2 linked regions of the Caenorhabditis elegans genome follow. The protein of the gene in region 1 interacts with the protein of each later gene in a pairwise test. Each region holds a gene or a part of one and is shown in the gene's direction. Other genes may lie near its edges.

Region 1 (12,544 bases):
ATTAATCAATGATACTGCAACGATAAGGCCACTGGAAACTATCTTCAGTGCCTTATCGACAATTGCTAACCTCATACTCCATTTCTTAAACATACTCAGGATGTGATCCTTGAGATACGGTGCCAAGAAGAACGCAAAGATAAGAGCAACCGCTAATCCGAACACTCCAGAGATGATGAGACATTGTGTGAGACTGAGTCGATCGAAATAGAGGACTAAAAATTAATTATTTGAAAAAACGTCATTGCATTAAAATAATTACAAGAAGGTCCTTTATAGACAATGGCGAAGACGTTGAAAGCGAAACAGATGAAGTAGAGCGCAGGAAGAACTCGAATTCCACTGTGAAGAGGTTGTTCCTGAAAATATTTACATTTGCATAGTTATTGTAACAAAAGTAATTTCGTGGGAAAACTTACACGTCTCAAAACCAAATGATCAAGCGACAAGTAGATGAAAACCGAAACGATTCCAGAGAGAAGTGGTGAAATGATCCATGAGAAGACTGCAAAAATAATTTCCAATAGCGATACAAGCACACGTTTCAGACAAGAACCAATATAATCGAGTAAAGAACTCACAGATACGGTAAATCTTCTCCCACACAATGACACGAGATCCTTGGGCAACGAGAGCAAATCCAATCGTGGCTCCAACAATTGAGTGAGTTGTAGATACGGGCAGCTTGAATGCAGTCGCCAACAACATCCACACACCGCATCCAGTGAGGATAGCGATTTGTCCCAACATGATAGTATGGCCGAGATCATTTTCGCTCATAAGAACGGTACCATTTTCATGTTTACCAAACTCTGAGAAGTCGATCACACCTTTGCGCATAGTGTCTGTCACTTGATGACCTAAAAATATTAGAATTTTGTGAGTTTCAAATGAATTTAAAAAAAAATCAAAGATACAATTCAATTTTATAAATTATGCTTATGTTGAAGAAAACCATAAAACATATAAATTTCTTCAAAAAAGAATAAAAATACCCAAAATTTGTTTTTTGAAATATTGGGAAAACGAAAATTTTTAGTTTTTCGATTTTAATGATAAATCGAACAAAACCGACACCCCACGATGCAGATACTTACGACGATGATCTGTGTTACTTACCAAGGAGACAAGCTCCAAGTGTTTCGAAGATACTAGCCAAAACATATGCTTGATGAAGAGTCAACACCTGAAATTTCAAAAAACTAGAATTTTCAATGTGAATAAAGATTCCAACCTTGCTTCCAACAGAAGTTCCGAACGAGTTTGCCGTGTCATTTGCACCGATAGCAAACGCCAAAATGAATGCTATAACGGCTCCGATGATGAGAAGAACAGTTGGATCGGGAAGCATTGTTGAGTCTGTTCTAAAAAAAAAGAAACATTTTTGGAAGCGATTCAGGTTAAGCGTCAGGCGGTAGAAATGAGGGAAACACAAAGGAGCCAGCTATCAGCAGAAATTTTTCTTTGCCGACAGCAGCTGATGGTCTCTGATAACAGTCCAATTTTAAAGAGAAATAAACAATTTGTTATCTCTTGGTCTATTACCACTCGTTTCTCACTATCCTTGTGACAATTCGGCGTCATTTATTTTTTTTTTGTCTTTCCGGCGTAGCTCTTTGACGTAAATGGTAATTAAAAATTGTTCTTTTTTCATAAGTATCATAAACTTTTTGGCACGAGGTTCAGACGAGCACAAAATTCAGTTACAAAAATAAGCTATCATCATTTAATTTTAATTCTATTAGCTAACAATAGTGAATCTAAAATCAAACAAACTAATCTGATCGAACTTTGCCGCTAACTTAGGTTAAACTAGAAGTGAAAACCTCATTTTATGAAAAGACGGAAGAAGTTTTCAAGGGGAATTTATTAACACCAGATTCCTCAGTGAGTCGTCAAATTCTTTTTTTTCCTTGGTTTAAAGAACATCGAGCAATGGATAGCGGCAAAATATCGAGTTTCAAAAAACGGGAAATATTATTTTCAAAATGGAAACATTAGGGATTCCCCGCAAAACCCACGCATTTTCATCAGAATTAGACTTTTCGCTAAAAACAAAATCATACCAGAAGATGATTGTAGAATTCGAAAGGAAGAGTGAGTTGACGGGTTGGGATGTGGAGTTGCGGTGGCTCAGCAGGGCCCTTCGCCTGTGGTTTAGGCGAAAACGGTAACAAGACGTGAGATGACTCGCCGCACAGTTCACGATCCGAGACGATAATTACCCCTGAAAAAAAAACCATTTTGATCAGATAAAAGAATACGGAAAAGTTGTGACAAACGGAATGAGGTAGAAATAGGAGGAGCAACAAGGAAATAAGAAGAGTTTTATTTGAACTCCCACGTATAACATTATCAAAAAGGTTTGTCAGCGACAAAGTCTCCGGCGTCCGGTCTCGCCTACATTGGAAGATTTATGTCGCCACATGAGAAAAGTGTTAACAAAAAAAAACGAAGAAAGAGAAGAGGTGAGAAAAACGGTGTCTTGCAAGAAAGATATCTTTTTGATTGTTCTTTAGAGAGTGACGTTATGGTCTTTGCTGGGCGAACTCTATATAATTTTAAATATAATCTTGTCGGCCTATTTTCTTGCTGAGGACACCGAATTCCCATTTATATGGGCTGAAAAACGGGAAATAATGAGTTTGAACTGATGGATTGGTTAAGGATATTGGGCGAATGATGGCAGTAAACTCGAATGCACTAGAATACGTAAATTTTATTTTTTTAAAGGCTTTTTCAGTGACATCAGATATTTTGTAGATTCAAAAATCTGAATCGTTGACGAAAATAGTTTACTCGTGATTTTTCAACAGCCAGATTTCACAAATGTTCACTGAGTCAACAAAAACAAAAAAATTATTGCGAAAAACGTTGGTTATTATTGTCATGTGTAAGAGCATCACTATTAGATAGAGAAAATGAACAAAAATGAGGTCCATCTATTCAGCAATATTTCAACTTCTTTTAAAAAATTGTTCTTTGTTTGCTCGATGTGCTGCGACCCTAGATTTATTAACAGTCGCAGATTGGAAAGGTTGTCAAAGGCAGGGGCAGGGAGTGCGCAATAAAAAGAAAAAGAGCAAATTTGACAATCCGATTGTTAAACTCTTGTTGCAGAATCAGCCTAAAAAACGCATCCGGAGAGGAAAGATCGCGAAACAAGAAGTTGAAGCGCCTGAGGATAGGGATTATCTAAAGAAGAAAAACGAAAAAAAGGGAGGAAGTGAGCCAAGTTAGATGTTTCGTCTTCTATTTTAAATCGAATTGAAATATAAAGCGAGGGACTTTCTAATCGATTTCATAGGTGATATTGCATGGGAAGGAGGGAAGTCGGCCGTACTCTGACGTGATGGGTTGGGTGTAAACGGTGCTTCTTTCGTCGCCCATCATCTAATGTCAGAGTAGATGAGACGCAGGATATCCCACTAGCGAGAAGCAGATCCCTATGACCTATTGGTGAAGTTCACGGAAAATGCACAGAAGAGACAACGAAAAGGAGCAATCAATTTGAAACGAAAGAAGAATGAAGATACGAGGAGGATCTACTGGCTCGTTTTCACTTTTTTTTGCAAATCTAATTCCTACTCAAAGTTTCGAAAAAAATTGGACGAATGCCAAGGGTCGTCTAGCAGACAAAAATGTTATGATTCAAAATAAGGCGGAGTCTTAAGGGTACATTGAAGGTCACACGTCCAATGCAGACGCTCTTTCTCTTTCGCAATCATTCGGCCCGCGCACAAAGAGCGTATATTGTTGCTCTCATGACGTCACCGTAGCTAACAGTGTAAGATGAAAAGTCTCTCTACTTATGAAATTTATCCTGAAAGAGTCGAACAACGAGCACACAATTCTAGAGCTTCTTCTCTTCTCAAAACTCAATAGAATGCGACGAGCTCATGGCTGGAAAGATCATAGACCAAATCTTTTTCATAGAAAAGTTGGAGGATGGGGGTGAATGCATAACTTTGAAAACAGACATTCATGTTTTGCTTTCGCCGAATGCCATGTGAGCCAAAACAAGGTGCCACAAGAGAGAAAATTACAAAATAAAGAAATATTTAATGAATCTAAACTTTGGAATGCGATAATTCCGAAAGGAAGTAATTTTTGTCTAGATTAATGAGGTTACCTCTTTAGTGTAGTGGGATTTAATTGTATTCGATAAGAGCATTCTAATAATACAAAAAGAATAAAAACTTTAGCCTTCAACTTATGAATCAAACTTTTTGGTCGATAGAATATCAAACACATTTGCAAAGGGGCCCGGAATGATGCAATAAAGAGGAGACCAAAAGTGCAAAAGCAAGTGAGAGAAAACGGAGAGAACATGCTACGGTAATATTTCTTCCCGGTTGAACTTTCTTTGTTCGCCAAAAGTGACACACAGTAACCTACACAGAATAAGAATACAATATTTCAACAAAATCTTTCGAAAGACTGATAGAAACAAGCACTTTTATACATCAAAAAGAGACAAAACATCAGTCTTTCAGTGATTCGCTGGATTATTTATAGACTATTTCTTGCGATTTTCGAGCTGAAAGAAACGGAAGAGGTTCGAGAGAAGAAGATTGGATGAAGAGACGAACAAAACACACCCTCGCACATAATCATTTTCGTCACTTTATGATGGACCAGCCTCTCAGAATAGAATCGCATTCTTTCTAGACATTATATTGTTGTCTGTGCGACAATAGAATTTTCTAGAAAATGTTCGCTCCGGTGACCTCTTCAGTTTTAAACACAACAAAAATATAACAAATAACTAAAGTAGCAGTTTACGTGCAGTTGGTGAAGAAATTCGTAGCAAAAAATGATACAGGAGCTGCTCGAACAGCTGGTCGAAAGTCGCAATGAAGAGAAACACTTGGCGGGAAATGAAGGAACTTGAGAGAGAGAGAGAGAGAATAGATTCAAAATTCGAACGGGAAGGAACAAGGAACGAAATAATTGCGAACTGATTTTAGAAAGAAGAAACATTTTACACAATTTCATAGGCATATGGTTTTATGCCAGTCTGGGTCCAAACTCGTTGTGGACAGAGCTCAATGAGGTGGCCTTTCCCAATGCAAGCGACTGGGGTCTGAATTAGATAGTATGCAAAAAGCAGAGGGGACCAGCTGGCATGAAGCCAAGTGCGAGCAAAATAAAGGGAGCGAGAGAACTAGAGGGCGCAGAAAAAACGATGGAAAAGCCGAGACGCGCGACGACGGAGAAGAGCTGCTCGACAACGATCCACGACGAATAAGACCAGAGAAGCGGCAGATTTTTTCGTTTTCAAATGGGCAATCGAACGGAAAATGAGCACATAAGACATGGAAGAATTTAATCTGCTTTTAAAGCGACCCCTCTTTTGCATCATCTACTACAAATTCAAGAAATAAGAATTATAATATTTTAAAATTATGAAAAATCAAATAAAACAGCAAAAAATAGCCGAGAAGAACATACAGCGTGGGAAAATATATCGTGGGAAAATTAAAATGATTTGAACCACAATTCTGCATTTTACCGTGGGTTACGGTAGGCTAAGTGCACAAAATACACCAAATCTTACGACGATTTATTTGTTTGGTAAAAAACATTTTTCCTGTTAGTTTTTATTTTTTTTTTTTTCTCCTGGAAAATTGGAGTTTTTATTTTTTTTAATTTATGGGGTTATTCAAGTAGTGTCGTGAAATTGAAAAGTGTATTTCAATACACTTTTTGCCTTATTCAAGTAACATCAAAAACATATATTTCAATACAGTTTGTGACGTAATTTCGCGACATTTCTCGACATTTCTCGACATTATGCGACAACCAGAAAGCGGACAACTGAATGAAAAACACAGAGAAAGGTGTCCCCGCGGGTGAAAATCCATACAATTTGCCGTCGAAGGAGAACAATTCTGATAAATCCACTGTGGAAAAATGTCGAGAAATGTCGAGAAATGTCGCGAAATTACGTCACAAACTGTATTGAAATACATGTTTTTGATGTTACTTGAATAAGGCAAAAAGTGTATTGAAATACACTTTTCAATTTCACGACACTACTTGAATAACCCCATTAGTTCAGTTCAAACGGACGTAAAAAAGTTTTATTTTCATTATTTTTCAGAAATATGTTTGACTTTCAACCTGAATTTACTCACTTCAATTTTAAAACTGCGAAACGTTTCATGTCGAACATTTCCAATATATTCAGATTTTTATTCTTTTGTTTTGAGAAACCTCTATAATGAAATCCTGAAAAAAAATCTAAAAAACTTAAATTTTTAGTTTATGTGAAATATTGAAATTTTTTGAATATAAATCTTTTCTCCCATATTTTGCCGGTTTTTCGAGATAACCAGAAAACCTGGATTACCGAAAACGCAGAAAGGGTTCTAAATTTACAGATTAGAAAGAAATTCTTTTGAAAATGATTTAAAATTGATTACACACGCCGGTCCACGTGTCCTTAATTTATTTGAAAACATATTTTTTCATCCAACAATAATTTTCTTCTCATTTCAGAACGCTTCCCTTTCTCCATGTCTCTTCTCAACTGCTATGGTCTTCCGGAGGCACTTCAACGTGGCGACACACCTACAAAACAAAGGTTTGTTCCAAGTTTTTCACTACCGATTATTCATATTCGACTCATTTGGCATTCTGAATGCGATGCAATGATTCGAAGGCAAACATCCATTAAATTTCGTTGAACGTTCCTCTTTCTTGTTCGGTTTTAGTAGAAAACGCTGATTTTTCAATCCGGAATCCGTAGAGATTTTTGACATTGACACAGGCCGGCTGTCAGTCAAAATCATCACTGTGAAGTTCTGTCAACTTATTCGTTCTTCTTTTACTACAATTTCTGAACGTATTATTCAATTTTATTTCCAAAAACATTAAAATATTTTCATTTTCTAGTTTCAACAGATTTGTCCGTAATCAAAAGTTCTTAGTCCATGATTTTGGCCAGCTTTCGTCAAATGTCTGGCTTCTATGTCGATCATTATTTCCAAAAGAGACTTAAAAACGTCGAATTTATCTTTTGAAAGAGTGCAATTTCTAAAAGAAGACTGACAGTCTAAAGGGTACTGTAGGTTCACAGAATGATGTGATAATGAGATGCAAATAAAATGTGTCGGCCATTGTCAATTGTCACCTTCAAATGTCATTCAACCTGGGAAATCGTTCGAGGACATTGAAAAAACAGTTGGTCATGCAAAACCTATTTCAATGAAATACATCAGAAATGTCTACTCTTTTGGAATGAGAAACTGAAGCTAGAAAGCCCACGCCAAAGTACCCTCATAATTTCCTCATTTCTCTTCCGGCTACCATTAAATGTGTGTTGTTCTTATTTTCCTGTTTTGTATTGGAAAAGTAAAACTATGCCGTTGAAGTTGTAAAGTCCACAAAAGTTTTGCCCACTACTATTGAGTCATCAAAAGTTCCCAATTCAAATAGAGATTTTATGTTTGGAGATTGGAAAACTCCGATGGTTCTCCAAAAATTATATAATATACAACTTCGTAGTTCTATCGAAAATTCTGGTTTTAACCGTTATTGCATATTTAAGTTTTGAAAAATGATGTTTTGTAGATTATGGACGATTGAAAGTGGAGAATTTTGTGATGAGACGTATTGAAAATTTCTCAAAAAATTGTTACGGCGGATCAAAGTTTTGAAAAGGGTATTTATATTTTCAGCTAAAATCGAAAATTTTGACCCGCCAGAATTATTTTTTGAGAAATTTTCAAAATTTCTCATTACGAATTTCGGTTGTTTTGTGCTATTAAAGTCTAAAAATGAAAATCGAGATTTTTGTACTCCACGGTGGTGAACCTTCTAGACCTACTAGGGTTACTGTAGGCATTGCATATTTGAAATAAAATTCAAAATGCTTGCTTTACGACAACTTCCGGAATCATAGATTCTCACCCAATTTGCACTCATCTCTCTTGGTCCTTCTCATGACTGCTCATTATCAAATCCTCGTTGCCACACACACACACACACACAATCCATGCCCTCCCGCAACTCACACTGTCTGCGTATCTACATTCTATATTGCTCTATCATCTCTCCATCCATTTCAACTGCTACCTATTCTTCTCTGCGTATCCCCCTATCCCAATACTCTCTCGTTTTGCTTCGTCCCCAACGCATGATGTTCATTGTGTGTATGTCTCTTCTCTTTCTGTTTCTTCGGGGCCAACTGCGTGAGAGAGTGCCGCGCCACAGCCTATCCATCATTAAAATTCGCTAATTTCCCACCAACCACCAGTCTAAAAATCCTTTCATTCTTCATCCCGACTTCATTACTGATCCGATCTGGAAATCCAGGTAAATCTCCGAAATCTCATAAATTCGTTAAATTTGTGTGTTTCTATGCGGAAACCGAACGGGAAGCGGTGAATTCAAAAATAGAATTCACGAGACAATGCGATTTCATCAGAAAATTTAAAATTCCTTACGCGTTTCGCAACTTTTCGGCCACAATTTCTATGAAAAACTACCATGATGATGTTCTTTATTCGTTTGAAAAAGTGAGCCAATGAACTTCGCTTGCTTTCATTTAGTTCACCACTAACCCAGTTTTACGACTCATTAAACCTTCCTTCTCTTGCAGATCGGGAATTTTGCCGTCAACTCCACGCCGAACTTCACCGCCTTCGGGCGCCATCGTCTCTTCCGGTGGAGACGAAAAACGAAAGGATCCACAACCATTGTTTGCAGTTATGGCCAGTTTTCTCGATTTTCTGCAGGTCAACAAGCATAAGGTAATCAAAAACAAATTTTTGATTTGAGATAAATATTTTTGTTGGCTTTTTTTCTTTATTAAAAATAAGAAAAAAAACATTATTTTGCATCGAAATTGATAAAAACCAAAGTCCGGCACTGAAAAATGTGCGTGGTTTAAAGACAAATGCGCTGTAATTCAAATTAGGAACATTAGAAAATTGAAAATTTACCGAAATTAGTAGTTTTCTTTTTCAAACTTAATGAGTGTTTTCTTTTAATTTTTTGTGATATCTTGGCATTTGGGACCAAGCTGCGTAAATTACCATTTTCTGAAATTGAACGAAAAGTATTTTGTTTGTAGACATTCCGTCCGAAAAAGAAGTTTCCACAAGGTACACTCCGCTACAGTCTTCACAAACAAGCAGAAGCAACTCTTCATTCGGGTGTAGATCTTCGTCATGCTGTCAAACTGCCACCAAGTGAGAACTTTGATGATTGGCTGGCTGTACATAGTAAGTTTCAACAAAAATGGTCCAGTTTAAATTTAAAACTGAATTTTCGTTCAGCTGTTGACTTTTTCAATCGAATTAATTTGATGTATGGAACGATTTCTGATGTATGCACTCGTGAATCTTGCCCAACTATGTGTGGAGGATCCCGTTATGAATATTTGTGGCAGGATGGTATTGAGTATAAAAAACCGACAAGACTCCCTGCTCCGCAGTACATGCAGGTTTGTTTTTGCGTTTTCTGTAACCTAATACCCCTCTCTTTCTATTTGCACCCTTCTCACAATTGTGTGATTTCGGTAAACTGATACACCGTTGTTTCAGCTGCTAATGGATTGGATTGAAGTTCGCATTAATGATGAGCACATCTTCCCATCAAGCACAAGTAAGATTTGATTTTGTACGATATATATAGTTAATTTTATTGATTATTTCAGATGTATCATTTCCAAAAGATTTCCGTCAAATTTGCAAAAAGATTCTCACTCGCTTGTTCCGTGTCTTCGTGCACGTCTACATTCATCATTTCGATCGGATTCGAGAATTGGGTGCTGAACCACACGCCAATACCCTTTATAAACATTTTTACTTTTTTGTGACTGAATATGGAATGGTGTCCACTAAAGAATTGGAGGCATTGGTAAGTTATGCAAATTTGGAGCACACTTTGAAAAAAAAAGAGAAAAGTTTTACCAAAAACAAAAAAAGATATGTTCAAATAATTATTTAAACTGTCTCACGAAACGCAAATTTTCAATTTTTTTCCCCTCCCACTTTTCACGCCTAGGAGGATTTTTTTTTATTTTTTAAGAAAAGAGCAAGTTTAAAAATAGTAAATTTAAAAAACACTATTGGAGCAAGGGCGTCGCTTTTTCGATTGCAAAATCCAAGAGCGAAGATTTTTTTTTGATTTCTCAAAAAAAAAAGAAGGACCCAACAAAAAATGTTTAAAAAATAAAAGAAGTTTGTCCTCAATTTTGAGGAAAATAACTTGATGTTCTTCAAAAAAAAATTAATCTGTGATTTTTTTTTCAAATAAAAGCACTTGTTTTTTTTTCAGAAAGACATGACTGAACGTCTTCTGGAGCCATCAAATCGCCGAGCTCCAATTCCTTCTGCCAACGCATTCCGGTCATGATTTTTGTTCCATTTCATGTCATTCTTCTTCTTTTTCCTGAATACCAGTCATTTTCGGTTGTGAACCATCACTGTTTCTGCTTTCTGTCTCAATTAAAGTGCAACTTTTCCATGTTCAGTTCAACTTGTACTTCTCATTCTCTCCGTATTCCCAACGATTTATCGCATGTAAACAGTATTCATCCAAATCGTTTCCCCTCTATTTCTACTTGCCTTCCCCGTTTCTTTGTTTCTTTATGATGCAAAGACTTCCCGCCAAAGTGATTTCATTTTTTTTTTTTTAATGATTTCATTTTTTTTTATTTCTCGAAAAAAACTTTTATTGAATTTACTCGTTTGAAGTAACCGGTGATGATAAAATGTGTTTGATGCGTGACGCGATTTCCACTTCAGAACGTAGGAACCATTTGGAAATAAGACGTGATAGTGCCAAATGAAGAGGAATAGGCATTTCACGGATACATTTTAATAAAAACCAAAACGTTGGAGACCAATCCTGAAAAAATGGAATTTGGAGTAATAGAGCAAAACTGATAATTTGAAATCATGTTATTTTGAAAAACTGCGTTCTAAAATCTACTGTTTCAAGTTCGCGATAAGTGGAATACGTATTTCGTTATTTTCACTAAACTGTCAATTATATCTTCATGCAAGTCACTAAACTCGAATTTTATTTTTTTGTTTATACAAAATCTACACTAACAATTCTTCACATTGAATGTATATTATCAAATAATCATTTTTTCGGGTACATCTGCTCAACAATTCCAAAATTTCTAACCTTTTCAGTTTGATCCCAATTCTGTAAAACTGCAAATATTTCCTCTTTATGCGTCAATTGATGAAATGTCGAATGAAAGAACAAATCAAGAAGACGTATAATATCTCGAAAATCTTCATTCTAAATTTTAATCAGATTAACATTTTCCTGAATCTCTCTCACCAACTAACCTCTAATTGACGACTAATTGTAGATATTGAGAGCCCATTCTTCACTTGATCCATATACCAAAAATGAGTTTTTTCATGATCATCATCATTTAATTGAGCATTTAATAATTGTTCATCGAATGATTTATTTTCAGGTAATGGCCCTTCGCATTTAATTTTCATACGGTAATCGTTTTCTACTTCGAAATTCACTGATGAATACATTTTTTGAAGTGTTATTCGCATTGCAATGTAAACTATCTGAAAATATGTTATTTATTTATTTAGAAAATTTAAATACTTACTTTAGGAATTTTACCGTATAATCTAGATTCTGGTTTACTTATAAACTTTTGATTGTATGCCACATATTCCGAAATATGTGTCATTTTATTTTTAGGAATAATCATCCCTCCATTGTTCCTTATTAGAAGCTGCAATATAGAACTTTTGTGATTGTATATGATTACGAACTTACTCTGAACTCATGCAATGTTTTCACCTGTTCCTTACTTTGAACAGCTTTTGCACGTCTACTTCTGACTGTATCAACTGCTTGACTCGGAGACATTCCCAAAGCATACATCATCCATGCAGCAATCACCATTCCAGTTCTTCCGTGACCCGCATGACAATGAACTGCTATTTTTCCATGGGATAATGCAAAATCGACCACTTTGACAATATCCAATAGACGATTTGGTGTGCATGCTTGGAAGTCGGGGAGTGGGAAATTGTAGTGATAAACTGAAGAAAAATGGAAATAATTTAAAGCGTAGTTCATTCATTAGACAAGTAAGAAGCTGTTGCACATTGAAGTTTTTCATGGTCATGTTTCTGTAGTTTCTTTATAAAATATTCTGCCAAATAGACAACATTGGGAAAATGTCGACAAAATATTTTCAACTCATGTTTAGAAGAAAAATTATTATTTAAATGTTGGAAATATTTTCTCGTTGGACCCTACTCGTTCAATAAACATTTAATCCCAAATACATTGGTAGTCACAAAAAACAGAAATCCAAATGTGATCTAGTCAGGTTTTTTTTGCATAGACGAAAAATACATTCCAGCCTGTAAGGCGATCTACATCTTTTTGGACAGACACGTGGGCCTGAACGTGCCTACTTGCAATCGAGCGTTTATCAATTCTTTAATATAAAGTTAACTCACTTCCATTTCTCATCAAATTCTCTGGATCATAACTAAATCCACTTGTCAGATTACCGCTTCCACAGAATGAATGC
Region 2 (12,544 bases), on another chromosome or scaffold:
TTCAAATTATAGCTGCTCTAACTGAAATTCTGTAAATATAAGCTTTTAATGATTTGAGGAATCTTTTTGCAAAAATTGTGATAAATCTGTAGAACCGACTAAAAAAGCAGTCACGATGCATAAATACTTTTGTCAACCAACTTACGTAGCCAGATCCTGAAACGGACCCCTATCATGAGTTCCCGCATCTCCAGTAGACAAACCAAATATTTCCAAAAACTGACAGTTTACAGGTGAGAACGAAAAAAAAATAATAATAGTAAAGAAGTAGAACGTTGCGTGATATAGACCATTATTATGCCGCATTATTATGACGACCACCACCGAAATAGTGTCAGGCGGCGGATATCGTCTCCTCCGTGGAAAAAGGAATGTCGGATAGGGAGAAAGATGACAGTGAGAAAAAGAGAAATCACTGGCACTGTCAGAAAAAATCCGGATTTTTTCTTTATAATTTTAATTGATTATTGCTTATATTGCGGCTAGTTTCGGTTTAATGGAAAGGAAAAGATTTTCAGAATTGAATTTTATGAGAAAAAATAAAATTTCAGATAAAAATTTGAATTTTGATTTCAAACGGGTTTTTTGATTTAGTGTTTAAAGGAGCTCGAGTGAATTTATCGTTTCCTGAAAAAAATGTTTATGATGAAAGTGTACGTCCGTACATTTCCCAGCTTCCAGTAGGGCGTCAAAAAAATTCCGGGGAATTAAATTTGAATCATTAACCAGGGTTGACCAGGGGTAGAGATTGACCAAAATTCACCGGATTGAACAATTTAACTGTAAGTTTACAGTCGAGCAGTGTTCATTTATTGTGGGTGTGCTATTGTGTTACGTAAAAACAAAGCGAGCAAAATAATTATACATTTTTCAAAATTGATCAAGTGCGAAGTAACTTTAGTTAAGAAACTGTTAAGAACATCCAACGGTGCCAAAATAACCAAATATTATAATACAAATTTTTTTCAATAACTGTGATTGTCAAAAGTCAAAAAGTGACAATTACTAAGTTTAGGCCACTTCTTGTGAGAACTGTAGCACTCGAACTCTAATAATTTTCGAATGTTACTTTTTGAAACTTAAATAAAACATAAAATTTGGAAACAAACAATTTTTCCACGACTTCTAAAAAAATAGCAAAATTTTAATACCATTTTTCAAAAAATCATATAAAATTCGGAATATTTATACTATTTTTTTATATGATTTTGTTTCATTGGTATGTCTTCTACTTACAACAACGGGACATTAATTGTCTTTGTATATCACAAAGTTAGGAGAAAATGTCTGCATGCCTGCTTGGACTAGCATTGCCTTGTGCCAGCACGCATTCCTGAACCGAGCCTTTTTTGAATGAATCGACCCCCTTGATCCTACTCATCAGTTTTGTGAACGTTAGAAAATTCGCTGAACTGGATTGATAAATTTTTTGGCATGTCTCTTTCCTGTGACACTTTCTCAATAGTTTCAAAAACCTCAAACTTCCGGTTATATAATATTATCTCTTCAATTCGGGAAAGTTGTGAACTTAACGTGTGAGAATCAATGTAGCACTCAAAAGAGGATTAGCTGAATACAATTACATGCAATCCCAACTTACGGAATACACTTTTGAATATTGAGAAGTTTGGGGCGGAATAACTCCCTTGCCCAACAGTTTTCACGTTATTTGTCAACTAAATATCAACAAACAATTGTAAGTTATACAATTTCCTCACTATCCTTGTTTTCAATCGTTGAGAACTGAATATGCTGGTTCCGTCTGACTCCGGTGGCAAAAAGTGAGTAGATACCTAACAAGGGAAGTCTTTGAGGGGGTCCGTAGATTTGGGGTTCTCATGCTAAAATTCCTACAGAAGAGTGTTAGTTATGATCTCTCCAAAAAATTTAGCTGCCCCGGTCAAGTTTCAGCAAAGTTATGACGTTTTGAAATTTCGGTTAAAAACACCATTGAAATCCACTGTCTTACCATGCAGTCCACGCAAATCTCAGCTTGCGTGACCACCGAAAATGTGACACCCATCACATTGAGTTGAAAAATGTCCTCGGTGGACGAGTTAACTCCCCAATTGGGAGTGCGCGCGTCTGATAAGATTTAAGCTTTGGTTCGATTCCTTCTATTTTTGAAATATTTTTGTAAGTTGAATAAAGTTGTAAAACAACTCATTCAAACATTTTTGCGCATTTTTAAAGTGATTTTATTCTTATTCGGGAGCCTAGAATCATTGTCCGCACTTTTTGGAAATTTTTATTTTTTTCATTGTTGCTCAAAATTTCTTGATCAACTCCAAGCAAAAAATTCAAAAAATTTCATTTTTCTAAACAATTATGAAATTGCTATGTTGTTGTTCAGAAATGTATGAAACGTACATTACACAAGTTTTAACTCTCTATTCGCAAGTAAACCGTCGAAATGATCTACATCTCACGAACTTTGTGCAAAATATGTAACCAACTTTGAAGTTGCATAACTTCGTTGAGATAAATTATTTTGAAAAATGATCAACTAACGAAATGTTTGTTGAATAACAGTGAACAAAGTTTTAGTTATAAACTTTTTGATACCTCCAGCTACAAAGAAGAAAACAAGGTTGGCATTTGGCTAGTTTTTCTATTAACATTGTGTTTTGGAAAACGGTCACAACTTTTTGGTGGCTGAAGGTATCAAAAAGTTTATAACTAAAACTTTGTTCACTGTTATTCAACAAACATTTTGTTAGTTGATCATTTTTCAAAATAATTTATCTCAACGAAGTTATGCAACTTCAAAGTTGGTTACATATTTTGCACAAAGTTCGTGAGATGTAGATCATTTCGACGGTTTACTTGCGAATAGAGAGTTAAAACTTGTGTAATGTACGTTTCATACATTTCTGAACAACAACATAGCAATTTCATAATTGTTTAGAAAAATGAAATTTTTTGAATTTTTTGCTTGGTGTTGATCAAGAAATTTTGAGCAACAATGAAAAAAATAAAAATTTCCAAAAAGTGCGGACAATGATTCTAGGTTCCCGAATAAGAATAAAATCACTTTAAAAATGCGCAAAAATGTTTGAATGAGTTGTTTTACAACTTTATTCAACTTACAAAAATATTTCAAAAATAGAAGGAATCGAACCAAAGCTTAAATCTTATCAGACGCGCGCACTCCCAATTGGGGAGTTAACTCGTCCACCGAGGACATTTTTCAACTCAATGTGATGGGTGTCACATTTTCGGTGGTCACGCAAGCTGAGATTTGCGTGGACTGCATGGTAAGACAGTGGATTTCAATGGTGTTTTTAACTGAAATTTCAAAACGTCATAACTTTGCTGAAACTTGACCGGGGCAGCTAAATTTTTTGGAGAGATCATAACTAACACTCTTCTGTAGGAATTTTAACATGAGAACCCCAAATCTACGGACCCCCTCAAAGACTTCCCTTGTAAAGCAAACTTTTACACATTTATGGAGATTTCTCAATTGATATTGACATGGTTTTCAGGCGAGAAAATCACGTGGTACCATCAAATGTGGTGAAAGGGAATGAGTGTAAGCTGAAAGAAGCTCCATTGTGCACACTTATTGTGTCATTTACAGATGATGAGGTATGTTCTTTTTCCGATTTGAATTTGTAATAAAAAGCTATTCTTCACATCAAAATGCAGAAAATAGGCGATAAGCATTTACGAAGCGGTTTTTTTTTGAAAATTCTGAAACTTAAAGTTGTGGAAGCGCCAGTGGATAAATTGCTTTAGAACATGCCTATATAACTTACTATCATAGTAAAAATGTTCAGAAAAGTTTTCTAAATTTTATATGAGAAGTTTGGAAGTTAAAAAAAACATCGATTTGCATCAAATTCATATTCGAATTACTGCCAATAGTTCGGGCTTGTCTTATGTATTTAAATTATTTTCATCAAATTTTCTTATGTTTTGCCTGATTTTTAATGTTTTTTGTGAAATTTCATCGGAAATTCAGCAAGAAAAATCAAGATAAATTTAAATTACTCACCGAAAAACTAAAAAAAAACAAGGCAAGTTTTCCAACGACGTAGAGCCTGAAATAATCAACTGCACAGATCCGTTTTTTAATAAAACATTTACATTTATCCTGAATTGTTCACTAAATTTTCAGTAAAATTACACAAAAAAAACATGAAAAATCAGTCTAAAATTGTGAAAAATTAATGATTAAAAGTTTAAATAAGGCAAGCGTCGAACTCCAATTCAAAAGGGAATTTGATGCAAATTGAGATTTCTTCCTTTTGATATTTGGTAGTTATGGAACCATAGTCATGTTTTAAAACAATTTCCCCACAGGCCCTCCTCCACCTTCCTTTAATTCACTCCTATAATTCTCAAAACATTACAACGAATGTGTTCAAAAATTGTGGGGAAACAATATAAAAAAAATATTTTTTTAGTTTTAAATCTATCAGTTTTTTTCAGGCAAAAGATGTGACATCTGCTCACGTGTTTACCATGACCACTCCGCAATTGTACCCACAGACTAGAAAAACAGTCTACAAAAATGGTAATGTTATTTTTCCCATTTTTCACTAGTTTTTCGAGTTCTTTGTTGTTGCTTTTTCCGTGCAATTTGAAACGACAGTAGAGTGAAATGTTTTCAGGAAAGTTGGCAACAGTCCCTTTTCTTCCATTTTAATTTTCAGTTTTTGTTCACAAACTTCCAACCATTCCCATTTTTATCACCGCTCAATTTATTTGCTTTTGCCAGCCAATACGGCACATTCTTTAGAAAAATGTTTACTTTTTCAACAAAAAAAAATGTCAAGAGAATAGATTGTTGATAACGAAGCAGTGAGAGGGAAATGGAATTTTTTGAATGCACACTCTTAGACATATAACCATAAAAGCAAACAGTTAAGCGAAACGAAATTGGAAAACAAACTTAAAACGGAAAAAGGCATGTTAAACACTGATTGCGGATATTTTATTCACTAACCGAAATGCTGATGTACTGATGGAACATTTGGACAATGGCTGAAGTTTATCTTGTGTCACATTGCAAATTGATGTTTCAGGTGTCAGGTCTTAAACTTTCTGGAACCCGCTTAACATTTTTAGAGATTTCATTACCTGAAAATGAAAGGATTTTGAAAACGGAAGGATACTTGTTTCATTTGTTCAAATTTTCACATTCATCCCAAATTACTGACAAATACGTCATTTAAATGTGTTCTTCAGCTAATCCTCCTCTCGGCCAATTGCACAAATATATCGGAACAACAAAAGAAGACAGAATGGGGAGTGTATGTGTGTATCTTTAAAAAGAGAAAGAAAAACTGGTAGTTCAAAGAAAACTGTGTATGTACCAGAAGTAGCGACACAAATGGGACAACTGTCTATTCAAATAATATGTATCACGCTTTTTTTGGAGAGGGGCATTTTTTTTGGTGGAAAAGTGTTAATGCGCAGTTACACATCAAACGGGTGTCAAATAAATTGTATTTCTATTTTTGAAATGTAATTCATTGTAAATCATGTATCTGCGATTAAATTTTTTTGGTCAGTGCAGCTACATTTTTGAGCACTTTCTCCCCAAGTCCCAGCATTCCTAGTTTTTTTTTTGTTGCGTTTCCCCGAAAGTGAGGTTACTCCAATTTTTTTGAGTGTCAAAAACGCCGCAATAAATATTTTTTTATTGCCCGCACAAACGTTGCCCAATCATCATCAGTTTGTTCACAGTGCAATAGTGTTCGCGCATCTTTTACCAAGTGCTCGGCAAACAGTCAACCAGCAACTTTTCATATTGGATTTGAATACACAGGGGGATGGCCCCCACTTTGTGTTTGTTTGTGTCTGTTTCCTTATTTCTGATCTGAAATGTGGAGAAAATGTTGTTGGCACGTGTATAGTCCAGCATCACATTTTTTCTTGTAGTGCATTTTCAACAAAAATATTTTTCACTTAATTTTGTTTCAACACGAAAAAACAGCAATTTATTTTTTATTTTAGAAAGATATTTTTAGTTGAACTGCGTCAAAACCCTTAAATTTGCCACATTTTTGAAGTTTGCATTCCGAAATGAGCTGGCAGAACTAACTGTAAGCAGCAGAGTTTTTGTCAGTGCAATTAATTTTCTAATGAATTCAATGTGCAACTTAAGAAACCTTACAAACCTGAACATTACAAACCTGAACAAGCTATGTATTTTCTAAAGTCCTTACGTCACAGGAACACATATCAGTTACCACTCTTCTTTCACTGGAGCTACTCTTCATCTTTCTTCAATAACTCTCACTTTGTGTTTCATTTCATTAAATGCGCGTTTTCGAAACAAAAACCGTCGAAAAAAACTCCTCATCACAAACAAACAGGTCAGGCGACCACGAAGATTTACTTGAGTAGTAGGCAATTATGCCTGTCATCTAGGTGACTGGCGTTTATTCCTCTGTTTTTCTTTTCCCTACTACCATCACCTTTCCACTTCACTTTTATTGTTCTTTTTCTAGGGTCCTCATCACAAATGTCGTTAACATCCACACCATTTAGTACCGACGATGAGCGATACAGTGGGTATACCAATTCTGCGGTAAGTTTTTTTTTTTGATGTGAGACCAGTGGCTTTTGAATTATTCCAAAGTGCTGAAGTCGAAACTGTTTTACAAATTATTTAATACAGATTTAATTACTATATATTTTCTAGGTTTTTGGGCATCATTATTGGGCATTTCTTAACAGATTGAAAAAAATGTTTTTCAGTACATAGATAAAGGTTTTTTTCAAAGTTTTCTCAGTTTTTTAATTGAAAAACAACATTTATTTGGTGTTCACATTTTTTCAGCTTAGAAGCGATTAATTGTAAGTTTCGATTCATTGTCTATTTTATTTGTGAGTCTACTAGAAAATAAAAAAAAAAAAACAAAAAACTTTCACTTGATCCGATGTTGTTTTGGTTTGGTTCAAAAAGTGTGTTTCCTTTTTGTGAAGATATCTGCTTGAGTATTGGGAAAATATATACATTTTCAAATTAAATGTTGTGCGAAAATTGTTTTTACAGCTCAAGAAAACTTGAGTTTATTTTCGAAATCCTACACTGTAGTATTTTCAGATGTCACCTCCCCTCCAAAAGCAGTTAATTCAAGAAGTATCGCTTTCATATTCCGCTCCATACACATCCACAGTTAAGCCTTCAAGGCATGACCTGCCGCTTGCCTTCTCACCATATTCCCTGGACTCAGAAATAGGTAAGTCACTTTTTGTCGTGCAAATTGAAAAAGGGAAAAAGTTAACCACTCCAAATAGGTTAAACAATGAGTAATCTTGGTAACACCTCCGCAGTGGAGTTGGCCAAATATAGTCTTATTGAAAAGGGGTGGTTGTAATAAGCCAGTTTTCTTGGCAATCCAATTTTTATTTTATTTCTCATTTTCCTCAAATTCGAAACGTTTAGAGGACCTTCATTCCCACACATATTCTCAGCTGTCAAACCGTTCCAACGGGAACAAAGTTGAATCGGCAGAAAGAATTTATACAGCAAGCAGAAAAGAGACTGAGTTTCCAGGTAAATTTAACATTTAATGCGAGTTTGATGTATTGATGTACTATTCTAGCAAAAGCTGATCCGATACCATACTTTTCTGCTCAGTCGGCAATAAAAGCTGGCAGAGAAAGTCCGTCTTACACAACAAGAAGTACACCAACTCCCAGACAGACACCTATTTCGTTTGATCAGGCTTCAACTGCAAGATTGGATAGTGGTCTATCTCAGAATTTGATTGTTTCAGAAAGCACAACTTTTGAGGAATTGACAACTATTACTACATCAAAGTGAGTTCACAAAAAGAATTTGCATAAAACAGTTCGTAACAGCAAAACAGTCAAAAAGAGAGATACAAACGTATAGAGATTAAATCTCAACACCGCATTGTTTTTACGTTGTTTTGTCCCAGATTTACCCCCCCCCCCCTCCCCCCTCAATCCAAGTCACCTACGATCTGCTTTTTTACATGTTCAGTTTTTTTTTTGGAAAAAAGTTGTTTGCAGTTTAATATCATCAGTTTTCCAGCAATCGAACCACTAGAAAGAAAGAGATCAAAACCGAGATGCCAACTGTGAACGCCTTGACCAAACAATTTGAAATTTCGTCGCAGCAGGAAAAAGTCGTTCCGTTGAAACCAAGAAAAAGCTCCAATGTTGATTACAATGGAAATGGGAATTCGAGGAGCCGTGTTGTGGTTATTGATAAGTCACAGATGAAAAGTCACAGTGAGTTGGGATTTTGGCACTTAGTTTTGAATATATGCAGTATCGGAGTGTTATGTCGAGCGAAGTTTTTGTTAGTATTGATATCTGTAAACCTGAAAAATTTTCATATATACTTTTTCAAACATGGCGTTTAATCTCTCATGTCATAAATCAACGTGTGAATTCTTATGCAAACATAAAACATAAATAAAACATTGATAAATAATTGGTTTCGCCATGAAACTGCCATGAAACTTGAAAAATACAAATTTTTCCATTATCTTAGTGGAACTTTGTCGATGTATATACTTTGCGATAGATAAATAAATTTTATATACAAGATGTATAAAAACAACTGATCGGAACTCATTTACATACCGGAAAAGGTTTTTTTACGTTTTTATGTTTTATAACTTAGAATTTTGTTTCAAAATGAGAGCATACAAATAATAGACCAGCACCCATTTTTGTGAATTGCAGAAAATGGAACCTACACTCCGAATCGATCCGCCATTGTTTACTCACCAGGCGGCATATTAACAACCACTATTGTTGACATTGAACCAGCACGATTTGGAAGACGAACCGAGGAGTATAAAGTTTGTTATTCAGTTTTTTGGAATTTGCCTTTAATTTGCTTTCAGATCCAAGAAGAGTACATAGTTCAGCGATATGATAATGGAAGCTCTCCAAACTATCAGAGACAAGAGCAAGGATATCAGCAACAACAGCAGCACCGGAGCAGAGAATACAAAACGCATCGTCAGGAAAAGCAAGAAAACTACAACCAGCGAAGTTACAGTGCAACTGAAAATCGAGAAGTTGACGCTCCTGTGGATACATCTCCCATTGATGTAGTGAAAAATGTCATTGATCGCTGGGAAACTAAGATTGGAGGTTTGTACATACTGTTGTGGAAATGCTGACCGACTAACGTCGAGATTATATTTAAAAAAACTAGATAAACATCATTATCAAGACCAAATGTTGCAGGAACTACTACTCGCTTCTACGCAAGCGATCAACAACTACGTTCGGTATCACGAGTTGATATGAATGATAATGTGCCAAGATCCGCACAAGAGGTAGAGGAAGCATTTATCGTTTCTTCCCATTTTTTGAGTATGACTCAAACGGGCAGAGAACATTGCACAACTCGCTATTTTTGAAACGACTAAAATTATGTTTATAGAGATTGAGAATCGTAGATTTGATAAAAGACTATTGAGGACAGTGTTAAGCAGAGCTTTAAAAGGCTGGAAGTGGTATGATTTTAAGCCGTTGAACTTAAGTAGATCAAACATTTAAGATTGTGAAGGATGGCAATGACATCCTTCAATCATTATTTTTCCAGAAAATAATTGTTCACCAAAGAAGTGAATCCCAACCGACCGAGCGTGTCATCCCAATTTCCCCTTTACCACATCGAGTTGAGCCTACAAGGACTACACAATCTGGAGGACTGCTTCAAACATATGAAGAACTGAAGACAGTGGTTGTCAAACAATCTTCTGACCAAACCCCCCAGAAAATCGTCCCAAGAGCCCAAAGCCCAGTAACGTCTCCTGTCTTCAAAGAGACGATTTTGTCTCCGCCACCAATTCCAACTCCTTCTCCAACTTCTGATATCGCTGAAGAGGTTCTGAGAACTGATGAAACAACACAGCACACCGCTATCACTATGCATTCCATTGTGACAAAAGAAGTCAAACAGGAGGCCAAGGAGAAAATTAATAGCGTCACTGATAACGCTGAAATGAAGGAGAAGGTTGTGGAAATTGCGAAAAATGTCGAATATGAGTGGGAAAAGAAACCGCTGACACCAACTCCTACTCCGATTCCTCCTCAGCAACAAGAAGTAAAACAGGAGGAATTGAAAGTTGAGAATAAAATTGAAAACGATCAAAATGAAGTTCATTTGCATAAGTTTTTGGATAGAGACTATCGAATTAAAACCTATGAGGAGTACTCTACGACCAAGAGGCTGAGAGACAGATCACAACCGCCTGAGAGAGTCAGTTTGTAGCTATTGAAATGAGTTCCTGGAATAATACCATTTTCAGCCACCAACTTCGTATTCGTCATACTCTGATCGATCTCGATCAATCGATAGAACATATGAAAGAAGAGTTCTGGGAAGTGGAATGTCGAGGACTTATTCGGAAGGTAACCTGAACTTTGCGGGACTAAGCTTCAAATTTGAAAGTAGTTACAATATGCTTACTGTACCACTATCACAGTTTTTGGAACATCAAAACCAAACATTTGGAACAGTTCATTTTATACACTACTTTCTTTGTACTTAGGAAAAACTGTCGCTGATCTTGACACTTTTTTGAACTTTTTCTGGCTTGTGATAGAACAACAAAAAATGAAATTTTTTAAACTGTTAATACTTCTTAGTCTAGTCACGGATAGTTTCTTTACACTTTCGACGTTCTTTTCTCCAATTTTAACAGCATAATCTTTTTTCTTTTTTTTGACATTTTCAACTCTAAATGAAACAGCTTGGAATTTTGATATGATGACAGTGAGAAACGGAGAAACACAGCGACCAGCGCCAAACTGATTACAGTTGGCATTATGTTGAAGGCATAGGTGGAGTCGCAAGGGTTGCCTATAAAACATTGTCTAATCAGTGCCATTTTCTCATTTTTTATCATTATTAACTTCTAAAATCGACAAAAAAAAACCAAAAAATGTCGACTTACGCGGCCTATACTACTTCTACTTATCAAGGTCGTGGACTTGCCAGTGGAACATATGCTTCTGGCTTTGGCCAGCTTGTCAGTGGAATGTCATCTGCTGGAGCCATCTGCACAACCCAAATCCGTGACGCGCGTGAACGTGAGAAGAGAGAAATTGGTCTCTTGAACGATCGTCTCGCGGATTACATTGAGAAGGTACGTGACTACAAGTATTTTGAGCCCAAATTTTAGGCCCCGCCTTGAAATTGGGGCCTCAACCAACATCATCTGCCGACATCTCACAAGTTCTGCGCCTCACTATATTCAACGTAACGCTCTTAGCAAGGAAAGCCGATGATCGGCTGGTGCGCTGTCACGTTGAAAAAAGTGGAGTTCAAAACCCGTGAGATGTCTTCGGCTGATGTTGTTTTGAGTGTACATGTGTTCTAAAAGTTTCAATTGCAGGTTCGTTTTCTGGAAGCTCAAAACCGATGCCTCAGCCACGATATTGATATTCTTCGCAACGGATTCAGCGGTGGAGGTCATGTATCTGGACTCTTTGACGCTGAGATCAACGTGAGTTTACTTCATTTTTTCTCTCTCTCTTCAAGCACACTTGATAAGAAGTCGCGATGGAAAACTGATAATGGTTTTTTTTTCAGCAAGCAAAGCATATTCTTGAGCAAACAACCGCTCACCGCTCCACATTTGAAAGAGACATCACTGGTCTCTCCGCGGAGATTGAAGTGTTCAGAAAGAAATGGCTGGACGCTGTCAACGCCGTCAAAGCTCATCGTGAGGACCATGATGTGGATTTGGACAGACTTGCCAAGATTGAAGCTGAAATTTCACTTTTCAAAAGAAAGATCCGTATTGTTGAGGAAGACGTCATCAGAATTCGCAGAGAAAATGACGGAATTTACAATGAAATCGCCAGAATCAAGCAGCTTACCCATAACGAAATTGCTCTGAAGAATGAGCGCAGCTTGAATGTCTCCGATCTTCTTCAGCGCATCAACCTCCTACAAACGGAGAACAACGTCAGAATCGAGCAAGAACTTGTCTTCATCCGCCGTGACACCACTGCCGACAACCGTGATTACTTCAGACATGAGCTTCAAGCCGCCATTCGTGACATCCGTGCCGATTATGAAGCCGTAAGACATTAAAATAGTAAGATATAACAATTCACATGATATTTTTTTTAGATCAGCATCCGCAACCGTCAAGACATTGAAGTGTGGTACCGTGAGCAAATCAGAAAGATTCAGGACGAATCAGTTCGCGTCAACCCAGACCTCTACAAGGAAGAACTCATCTCCATCCGCACGACCGTGACAAATGTCCGAAGCAGACTTGCCGAGGTTGAAGGAAGAGTGAGTTTTTCTAGGCCTTCCGACGGTTGTGAATATTTATGAATTCAGAACTTCTTCCTTGAGCGGCTCATTGATGACCTAAAGAACAACGAGGAAGCCAAGTTCTTCGAGATCAGCCTTGCCGAGAGAGACGCCCAGATTGCGACCCTCCGTGACCAGTGCACAGAGCTCAGCATTCAAATGGAGAAACTCTGTGACAACGAAATTGTGAGTTCTTTTAGATATTTGGCCTTCACTATCTAGCTTAATTTTCAGTCCCTCCGCGCCGAAATCGAGCGCTAT

Evidence for each region.
Region 2: the proteins of mob-3 (region 1) and ifc-2 interact in a two-hybrid assay, tested with the Caenorhabditis elegans proteins (one large-scale study listed by BioGRID).

What each region holds. Positions count from the first base shown.
Region 1 is NC_003282.8:7,382,904-7,395,447, reverse strand, and holds mob-3 (MOB kinase activator-like 3), read left to right. Parts: upstream 1-6,504; 5' UTR 6,505-6,521; coding exon 6,522-6,589; intron 6,590-8,179; exon of another isoform or gene 8,180-8,322; intron 8,323-8,608; coding exon 8,609-8,759; intron 8,760-9,082; coding exon 9,083-9,233; intron 9,234-9,287; coding exon 9,288-9,454; intron 9,455-9,554; coding exon 9,555-9,615; intron 9,616-9,667; coding exon 9,668-9,870; intron 9,871-10,290; coding exon 10,291-10,368; 3' UTR 10,369-10,692; downstream 10,693-12,544. Other genes in the region: pitr-1 (Phosphate transporter), read right to left, coding at 96-215, 263-359, 420-505, 582-860, 1,120-1,186, 1,235-1,351; ptp-8 (TYR_PHOSPHATASE_2 domain-containing protein), read right to left, coding at 10,696-10,863, 11,149-11,268, 11,319-11,558, 11,603-11,731, 11,776-12,044, 12,471-12,544.
Region 2 is NC_003284.9:644,027-656,570, reverse strand, and holds the start of ifc-2 (Intermediate filament protein ifc-2), read left to right. Parts: upstream 1-1,749; coding exon 1,750-1,781; intron 1,782-3,488; coding exon 3,489-3,591; intron 3,592-4,437; coding exon 4,438-4,522; intron 4,523-5,663; exon of another isoform or gene 5,664-5,805; intron 5,806-6,463; exon of another isoform or gene 6,464-6,464; coding exon 6,465-6,544; intron 6,545-7,063; coding exon 7,064-7,199; intron 7,200-7,405; coding exon 7,406-7,516; intron 7,517-7,565; coding exon 7,566-7,782; intron 7,783-8,020; coding exon 8,021-8,220; intron 8,221-8,679; coding exon 8,680-8,798; intron 8,799-8,843; coding exon 8,844-9,096; intron 9,097-9,192; coding exon 9,193-9,284; intron 9,285-9,553; coding exon 9,554-10,213; intron 10,214-10,262; coding exon 10,263-10,365; coding exon of another isoform or gene 10,366-10,505; intron 10,506-10,846; exon of another isoform or gene 10,847-10,898; coding exon of another isoform or gene 10,899-10,938; coding exon 10,939-11,102; intron 11,103-11,351; coding exon 11,352-11,462; intron 11,463-11,548; coding exon 11,549-12,043; intron 12,044-12,094; coding exon 12,095-12,262; and 4 more. Other genes in the region: lpr-7 (Lipocalin domain-containing protein), read right to left, coding at 146-306. UniProt on the Caenorhabditis elegans protein: Cytoplasmic intermediate filaments provide mechanical strength to cells. Not essential protein, although its absence leads to mild defects in locomotion.